Mus musculus: one gene and its partner. The protein of the gene in region 2 purifies or fractionates together with the protein of the main gene of each other region. This does not show direct contact. Links are inferred from orthologs where the notes say so. Each region holds a gene or a part of one and is shown on either strand. Other genes may lie near its edges.

Evidence for each region.
Region 1: the proteins of Sox9 (region 2) and Fbxw7 purify together in Homo sapiens (affinity purification with western blotting; 4 studies listed by BioGRID and IntAct, with this or other methods). This does not show direct contact. The link is inferred for Mus musculus from reciprocal best matches to the Homo sapiens genes SOX9 and FBXW7.

Annotation. Positions count from the first base shown.
Region 1 is NC_000069.6:84,976,077-84,979,576, reverse strand, and holds the end of Fbxw7 (F-box/WD repeat-containing protein 7), read right to left. Parts: intron 3,404-3,500; coding exon 3,193-3,403; intron 2,305-3,192; coding exon 2,036-2,304; 3' UTR 379-2,035; downstream 1-378. UniProt on the Homo sapiens protein: Substrate recognition component of a SCF (SKP1-CUL1-F-box protein) E3 ubiquitin-protein ligase complex which mediates the ubiquitination and subsequent proteasomal degradation of target proteins.
Region 2 is NC_000077.6:112,780,765-112,785,027, reverse strand, and holds the start of Sox9 (transcription factor SOX-9), read right to left. Parts: upstream 2,819-4,263; 5' UTR 2,444-2,818; coding exon 2,013-2,443; intron 1,220-2,012; coding exon 966-1,219; intron 357-965; coding exon 1-356. UniProt on the Homo sapiens protein: Transcription factor that plays a key role in chondrocytes differentiation and skeletal development.

The sequences.
Region 1 (3,500 bases), on a different chromosome or scaffold from region 2:
GCCATCTGAGTCAAAGGTGACAGAGGCTACTTCTCTCAGCCTGAGAGAAGAATGGTGCGAGTGCTTTGGTGAACACTTGGTATATGGGATTTGAAGGTGAACTCATTATTACAAGGCTTCTAGTTGTAATTCCAAGTTTTATGACTGAAGAAACGAGCTTTCATGTTCATACACACAATGCAAACAGAAGAGTGGCCTCCCTGACAGCTCGGGGTGCCATCTGCAGTGCCTCAGCTTTGGCTGAGCTCGGAAGTGCTGGTTTCTAAGTCACAATGCAGGGGATGTAAGAAACCCAAAACTTGACTATTTAAAATATCTGACACAAATACTATATAGTTATAATGAAACAGTATTATCTAGTGGAAGAAACAGGCGCAATAACATGAAAAAACACATTTTATTGCACTTAAGTTATAAGAAAATAAAATTTCTAAGTGAATCAAACCATAGACACAATCCCTTTACAGGTTGTTTCCTCCATCACGTCAGGTTGTTACATAACTAAAATTAACCAACTTGAATCTGATTGTTTTAAATCAGACTATAAATAAAACAAACAAAAAATAAACAGGAGGAGGAAAAAAAAGACGGCCTAGGATACAGTGTTAACCACTTTCACAGTTCAGCTTGAGTTACGGCTCCTGGTGAATGAGGCGGACCATCTGACTCCCGCTCTCTTGCTCGTCGAGCTGGTAGGCGAGTGACAGACAGCGTCACTGCAGAGCGAATTCCTCTCACGTCAGTCACTCAGAGCAATGAAACTGTAACAGTTGTTTTCCCCAATACTGTAAGATGCTACGACTGACCAGCAACCTCCTTTTCCTTTGTGTTTTATATATCTTTAAAATATCTTGTCAGTTTTGCTATGTATGTTCTTCCATTCACCACAGCCCTCAAAAAGAAGTTTCTCCACAGAACAGGCACCTCAGGCTCTGTCCCAAGGAATGTGTTTTAATTTTTGCCCAGATAAAAGAAAATAAGCTTTGCACACACTCTCAATTCTTTATTTGCAGGCAAACTTCACTCTTTATTATCTGAAACTTTTCCATTCTCAGCCTCTTAGAGGCACAGATGGCTCAAGTTTCAGTGGCAAAAAAGTCTTTTTTTTCTGTAACCAAACTAGAGCAAATTTGGAATTCAGTCTGGGACTAAAACGTCACAGCAGAAAAAAAATAAAAAAAAAATAATTTGCTTTTTCTTTCTTTCATTTAGCAGCATAAATAAGTTTGGCCACTGGGAGTACAGTACAGGGGTGGGACAACGACCCCGGATTTGAAGACCTACTTCTAGCACCAGCATCAAGAATTATATCCATCTCAGGACTCACACAACCCAGGACAACTTGCCACCTTTGAGCAACATATGCATTGAAGAGTAGAAGCAACAGTAAAGAGATAGATTAACAGAGGCTAATACTGTGATTGATTGACATTGGCAATGGTTGGCAAAAAAAAAAAAGAAAAAAGAAAAGAAGAGAAACAGGAAAAAGAGAAAAAAGAAAGCTTCATGATAACTGTACAAAAACAATTCACAGTAATTGTTTTAAGCTTTTCCACTTCAGAAAAATGACGGTTTGTTGCAGATGCTCTGATTAGAAGATAAGCAGCCCGTGTTTGGATATTACTGCCACTCCTTTCTAGGTGACGGTAACAACGCTGATGTAGCTCTGCTCAATGACCACTGGAGAAGAAAACAAAGAATAATTGCACCTGGTTGGATTTAGAGAGTCGTCTTGCCAAGCTGCCCCTCAGTCACAAGTGAGGCCTTTGCGAGATGCGACAGCTGCCGCCTCCTGTCAGTTACGGTCTCTTGTCTCTTCTTGCCTTCTTAGTCTGTAGGTCTTTTCAGTCTGTTGTCCCAAGCCAACATCCTGCACCACTGAGTACAAGGGATTTTTTTCCTTTTCTTTTTTCTCTTTTTTTTTTTCTGTTTTTTTTTTTCATTTTTTTGTTTGTTTGTTTTTGTTTTTTGCGCAGGGGGAAGGGTAGGGAGTATATTGTCTACACAGTTGGACAAAATTCATCATGTCTGCTTTTCATTTCATGTCCACATCAAAGTCCAGCACCAGGAGCTTGGTTTCCTCAGTTCCATTCCGACTCCCGACTGCACACACCAGCTTTGTGTTTGAGGCCCTGATCCGCCACACAACTCCCCCGCTCCCCCCACTCTCCAATGTGACGAGGTTTCGGATAAATTCACCCGTTTTCAAGTCCCAGAGTTTGACCGTTCCGTCGTCTGAGCTGGTAATTACGAAGTTCTTGTTGAACTGTAAGCAGGTCACAGCGCTCTGATGCTTGCTGGGACCTAGGCAAAGGCAAATGCGGGTTACTGCTTAGGAAGGACGTTCAGGGCTTCTGCGTGGGACTTGTGCTCTTCTACATTATGGCATACAAGAAATGCAGTATTTAAAAAGCTGCACAGTTAGCAACCTTGCTGTAGTTTAGGACCAGCTTAGATGTAAGGAAATCTGGTGGCTATGTAACTACAGTACCAAGTCTCAAGAGCTCCGGCTCCCAGTGGCCCTGGTCAGCCAGTGTACACATTCCACTGCTGGAAAAGGGAACGTGCAGGTTTGTCACTCTGTCACTCTGCCACACTGAACTGATCAGTCAAAGAAGGAAATAGAATTTGTGACTACCCCAAACTCCTAGGAACAGTCACAATTAATGAACAAAGGCTGCTATGTGCTGCCTCCTGATGGCTTCACTCCAAACAAACAAACAAACAAACAACAACAACACCTTCTAAGGGCTGTGACTAAGAGAAGGAAGTTACTCATGGAGAAGCCAATGGTGCTATACCTAATGCTAATGCTTCTCACTCTACCTTCCCCTCAGAGAGCACCATTACTCCTTCCATTCCGACTGAAGGAATTGACCAAGCAAGGCCAAAGTCATTTCCTATCAGAGATGCTTCAATTCAAAATAAAATGATCACTCAAAAAGAACGCTGCCCTATGAGACAGCCATGTTAAACAGAGTCAACAGAACACACAGGAAATGATTAAGAATTTTCACATTAAAGACACAATTGAAAACCATTTCTCAAGGTGGCTTACTTTTGAAAGCCAAACATTCACAAACTCATCAGGAGTAAGTACTCTGCATAAGGTTAAACCTCTGTTCTCCACAGGTTCTCTCTTGAATAGCAATGATGTTTTTAAAGATAGGCTAACAGAGGGCCAGGACTTACCTTGCAAAGTTTGTAAACACTGTCCTGTTTTGATATCCCAGATCTTAACTGTAGAATCTGCATTCCCAGAGACAAGAATATTGTCTTTGAGTTCCATTCCACTCGTTAATGACTGGTGTCCTGTTAGCGTGTGAATACAATTCCCTGTCTCCACATCCCAGACTCGGATTGATGTATCAAGAGATCCACTCACCACATGGATGCCATCAAACTACAACAGACACAGAGTATTAGAACAGAAACACGGATTCCTGTCCTATCAGCTGTTGACATTACTCACAATAGGGAGAGGGTACAAGCAACACGTA
Region 2 (4,263 bases):
CTGCGGAGGAGGGGGCGGCGCCTGCTGCTTCGACATCCACACGTGGCCCGCGGTCGCAGGGGTGGGTGCGGTGCTGCTGATGCCGTAACTGCCAGTGTAGGTGACCTGGCCGTGGGTGGCCGGAACCCCTGGGTGGCCGTTGGGTGGCAAGTATTGGTCAAACTCATTGACGTCGAAGGTCTCAATGTTGGAGATGACGTCGCTGCTCAGTTCACCGATGTCCACGTCGCGGAAGTCGATGGGGGGCTGTCTGCCCCCCTCTGCCAGAGGGCGCCCCTCTCGCTTCAGATCAACTTTGCCAGCTTGCACGTCGGTTTTGGGAGTGGTGGGTGGGGTCGGCGGACCCTGAGATTGCCCTGCAGGCCATAAAAGAGAAAGACAAACGGTAAAAAATCAACAAGCGCTTTGCAAAGCCCCTACTCTTAGGAGCCCCCTGGGGACTCTCCCTGGTTGCCAAGGTGTCATTAGGACCCGCTCCCGCGCTGGAGGCGCGCTGCACCAGCGATAAGTCGCCGAATGATTAACCCGCAGGTACACACTAGGCAAGCTCCTTTTATCAGGGGAGGGGTCTGAGGTCCCAAGGGTCCGGAAGACTAAATTGCTACCTGTAGAAGAATGTGTGCTTTTGGGGTGAGGCGCAAAGAGAAAAGTGGGTAAGTTTCGTAAAGCAATTAAGACATGTTACCTTGCAATAAAGAATCCAGCTCAGGATTCAAGGTTTGAGATGTGTGTGTGTGTGTGTGTGTGTGTGTGTGTGTGTGTGTGTATGTGTGTGTGTGTGTGCCTGTGTTCACCCGCGCCCGCGCGCCAACTTGGCTGTTTTTGAGCGCCCTGAACTGGGAGGGGGATGCAGAGAATAGTGTTTCCTTACTTCAGGGAATGCAAAGTCAGATACTTCTGGGGAGGGGGGCACCTTAAGAGTGTGCCAGGAGGACCCCCTAGGGGACCACTCGCGCCTTGCTCACCAGAGTGCTCGCCCGGGGAGTGCACCTCACTCATGCCGGAGGAGGAATGTGGGGAGTCGGCTTGCAGCGCCTTGAAGATAGCATTAGGAGAGATGTGAGTCTGTTCCGTGGCCTCTTCGGCCTCCGCTTGTCCGTTCTTCACCGACTTCCTCCGCCGGGGCTGGTACTTGTAATCGGGGTGGTCTTTCTTGTGCTGCACGCGCAGCCGCTCCGCCTCCTCCACGAAGGGTCTCTTCTCGCTCTCGTTCAGCAGCCTGGGGGGGGGGGGCAGAAGAAAAGAGGGAGGGGGTCAATGAAACCCCGGGAGCTGTCAGGTCCCCACCCCTCCTTCGCGCACTACCCCCTCCCTCCAGTCTGCTTTCCATCCCTCTCTGAGACTCAGAACTTTTTTTTTCCTTTCTTTTTCTTTTTAAAAAAGTGCTCAGAGTCGACCTGAGCGGTCACTCTTCGCCCCGCCCCCTCCCCTGGCCTCCTATTTTGGAAACCCTGAAGATGGAAATAGCTCCCTGCTGAGGCTGCTCTAAACGCCTTTGCTACCGGAGCGGTCCACCCCTCCCAACACGCAGTAAAAACTTTCCGAAAACCCATTTAAATTGCAAGAAGCTCGCTCTGTTGATCCATGCCCCTGCCGGTTCTCAGTAGCTTTGCCCAATTCTTGCCTGGGTCTCCTCTAGTCTCAGTTACACTTTCCCTTCACTCCATCTCCCCAGGAATGAGCGCAGTTGGCCTAAGGAAGGTGGGCTTGCTTCCTCTAATTGTTCCTTTCCAGAGGGACCAGGCTGGCACACCCCCTCACTCCTTTCTACCTTCCTAAAAGCAGTCATATTCACGCCCCCATTCCCCCCCCCCCCGCCATAACCAAGAGCAATCCCAAGAACTTTCTCAAAATCTGAGCCACTCCCTCCCCCCGCCCCCGGCCGCCCTGCATCCTGGACCAAAGACCCCAGGATGCACAACTCCGCGGCTCAGGGAGGCGGGGCGGGGTCGGTGAGTGCAGCCCGCGTCCCCCCTAGCCACCGAGCCCTCCCTGGCGGCCCGCGCGCTCACCTCCAGAGCTTGCCCAGAGTCTTGCTGAGCTCCGCGTTGTGCAGATGCGGGTACTGGTCTGCCAGCTTCCTGCGCGCAGCCTGCGCCCACACCATGAAGGCGTTCATGGGTCGCTTGACGTGTGGCTTGTTCTTGCTGGAGCCGTTGACGCGCACGGGCATGGGCACCAGCGTCCAGTCGTAGCCCTTCAGCACCTGGCTGACCGCCTCGCGGATGCACACGGGGAACTTATCTTCCTCGCTCTCCTTCTTCAGATCCGGCTCGCCCTTGGGGAAGGTGTTCTCCTGGGGCCGGGTGTTCTCCGTGTCCGAGCCGGAGCCCGAGGGACAGGGCGAACCAGCCGAGTCCTCCGACATGGTGGGGCTGGGGGCGCCAGACAGGCCCTTCTCCTGCTCGTCGGTCATCTTCATGAAGGGGTCCAGGAGATTCATACGCGAGCCCGGGGCAGGGGGCGGGTGGCCGGGAAAGGCGAGAAGCCGCGGCGGCTGGGGCTCCTCTTCCCTCAGCTGCCCGGACGCGGACGCCGAGCGAACGGCTCCCGGGGAGGTTGGCGCGTCACCGGGCTGCGGCGGCGGGCACTTAGCAGAGGCGCTGGGTGGCGGGTCTCAGCTGCCGGCTCTAAACCCGGGGAAGGCGAGTCGGAGCGGAGGAGGAGGGAGGGAAAACAGAGAACGAAACCGGGGCCACTTGCACCTCGTCTCTCTTGCAAAGAAAAGTTCCTGGACTGAAACTGGTAAAGTTGTCGCTCCCACAGAAGTTTCCAGGCAGTTCCGAGCAGCGCTCTCGGCTCTCCGACTTCCAGCTCAGGGTCTCTAATAAATACTCCTCCTTCACGTTAGATACCTCGGGCCAATCACGGCTAGCTCTTGAGTCATCAGTGTTGGCAAGTCGCTGATTGGACCGGATTTTGGAAGGGGGGCTGGGGAGGATTGTGGCTCCGGGTTGGGTGACGAGACAGGAGGGGAGGAGAAGGGAGGGGAGCTCAGCCAGAGGGTGGATGGTGGGGTGAGGGGACTTGGAGGGGGGCGCGGGGCAAGCGGGGGACCCGGGACGTCCGAGTGTGTAAGTTTGCTCTCTACTCTCGGAATGTCACAGTTTTGGAACGGTCTCCGTGTGAACCGATGTGTGTGTGTGTGTGTGTGTGTGTGTGTGTGTGTGTATGTGTGTGTGTGTGTGTGTGTGTGCGCGTGCACGCGAGCGTGTCTAGACTAGGACCCTCCACAACCCCCCACCCCCACTTTTCGATGCTGTCTCCGTGGTACCCGGGACTTCGCTGGCGTTTACAGCAATGGAAATTGCAACAGCTGCTCGTCAAAGCGGAGCTGGGCTTCTGCGCCTGGAGTCTGCCGGCTTCCAAAAAAAGTGCTTAGAAATGGTCTTTTGGAAGCAAATGTTTGGGTGACTCAACGCCCGCTGTTCTCTGTAATAATCCATATAAATAGATTAACGCGCTCTGGTTCAACGAAGCTGGTGTGGTGACTGGAGCTTCTGCTGCGCTCCCGCAGTGGGGAATCAATGAAAACCAAAGCCGAGCACCAGGCAAAGGCTGGCGGCAGGGACCGCGCAGTCCCCGGCTCTTGCGGCCGGTCCCGTGGGCCACGCCGACCTTGAACTGACAAGTCCTTTCCCGGCCCCTCCAGTACTCTGACGCCCCTCGTAGTCAGGATTATTACTTTAGAGTTCTGCTTCTTGCCTCCTGACTGAGTCACAAACACCGTCAGGCTCGCCACTGGAGTTTGCAAAACTACTCCGGGGTTGAGGGCGAAGTTTGCAAAGGTGGCAGGGCCGGGCGGTGAGGCCGAGAAGGCCCTTGACTTGGACTGGAGACTCCAGACAAAACGGGCCACTTTGGCGGAGCCCTGTGGCTCCCTTGCTTGGGCCTTCCTTTTACCAGATACCTAAGAGGGCGAAGCTCTAGGCGTCTGGACTTTAGTTGCGTCCTCTTAGACCTGCACACAGGTGGGCGTTCTGGGGGAGGCCACTTAGGTGTCCGTTGCACTTTAAGAGTGCTTGGAGCCGAAGCTGCGTGTTTACTCAAACTCTTAGAGCAAGGTTGGCTAAGGGAGGAATTATCTTTTCTGGAACGAATAAAAATCTTAGTTGCCACCGGGCGACATGCCCTCGGAACCACAAACAAACTCACAACGGTGTAAAAAAAAAAAAAAGATAAACAATTTCATTTAAACATCCCCTTTCTGATTCTTGCAAAGCTTCGCTTTGAACTTACTAAATTATTGATAAAGCGAATCGG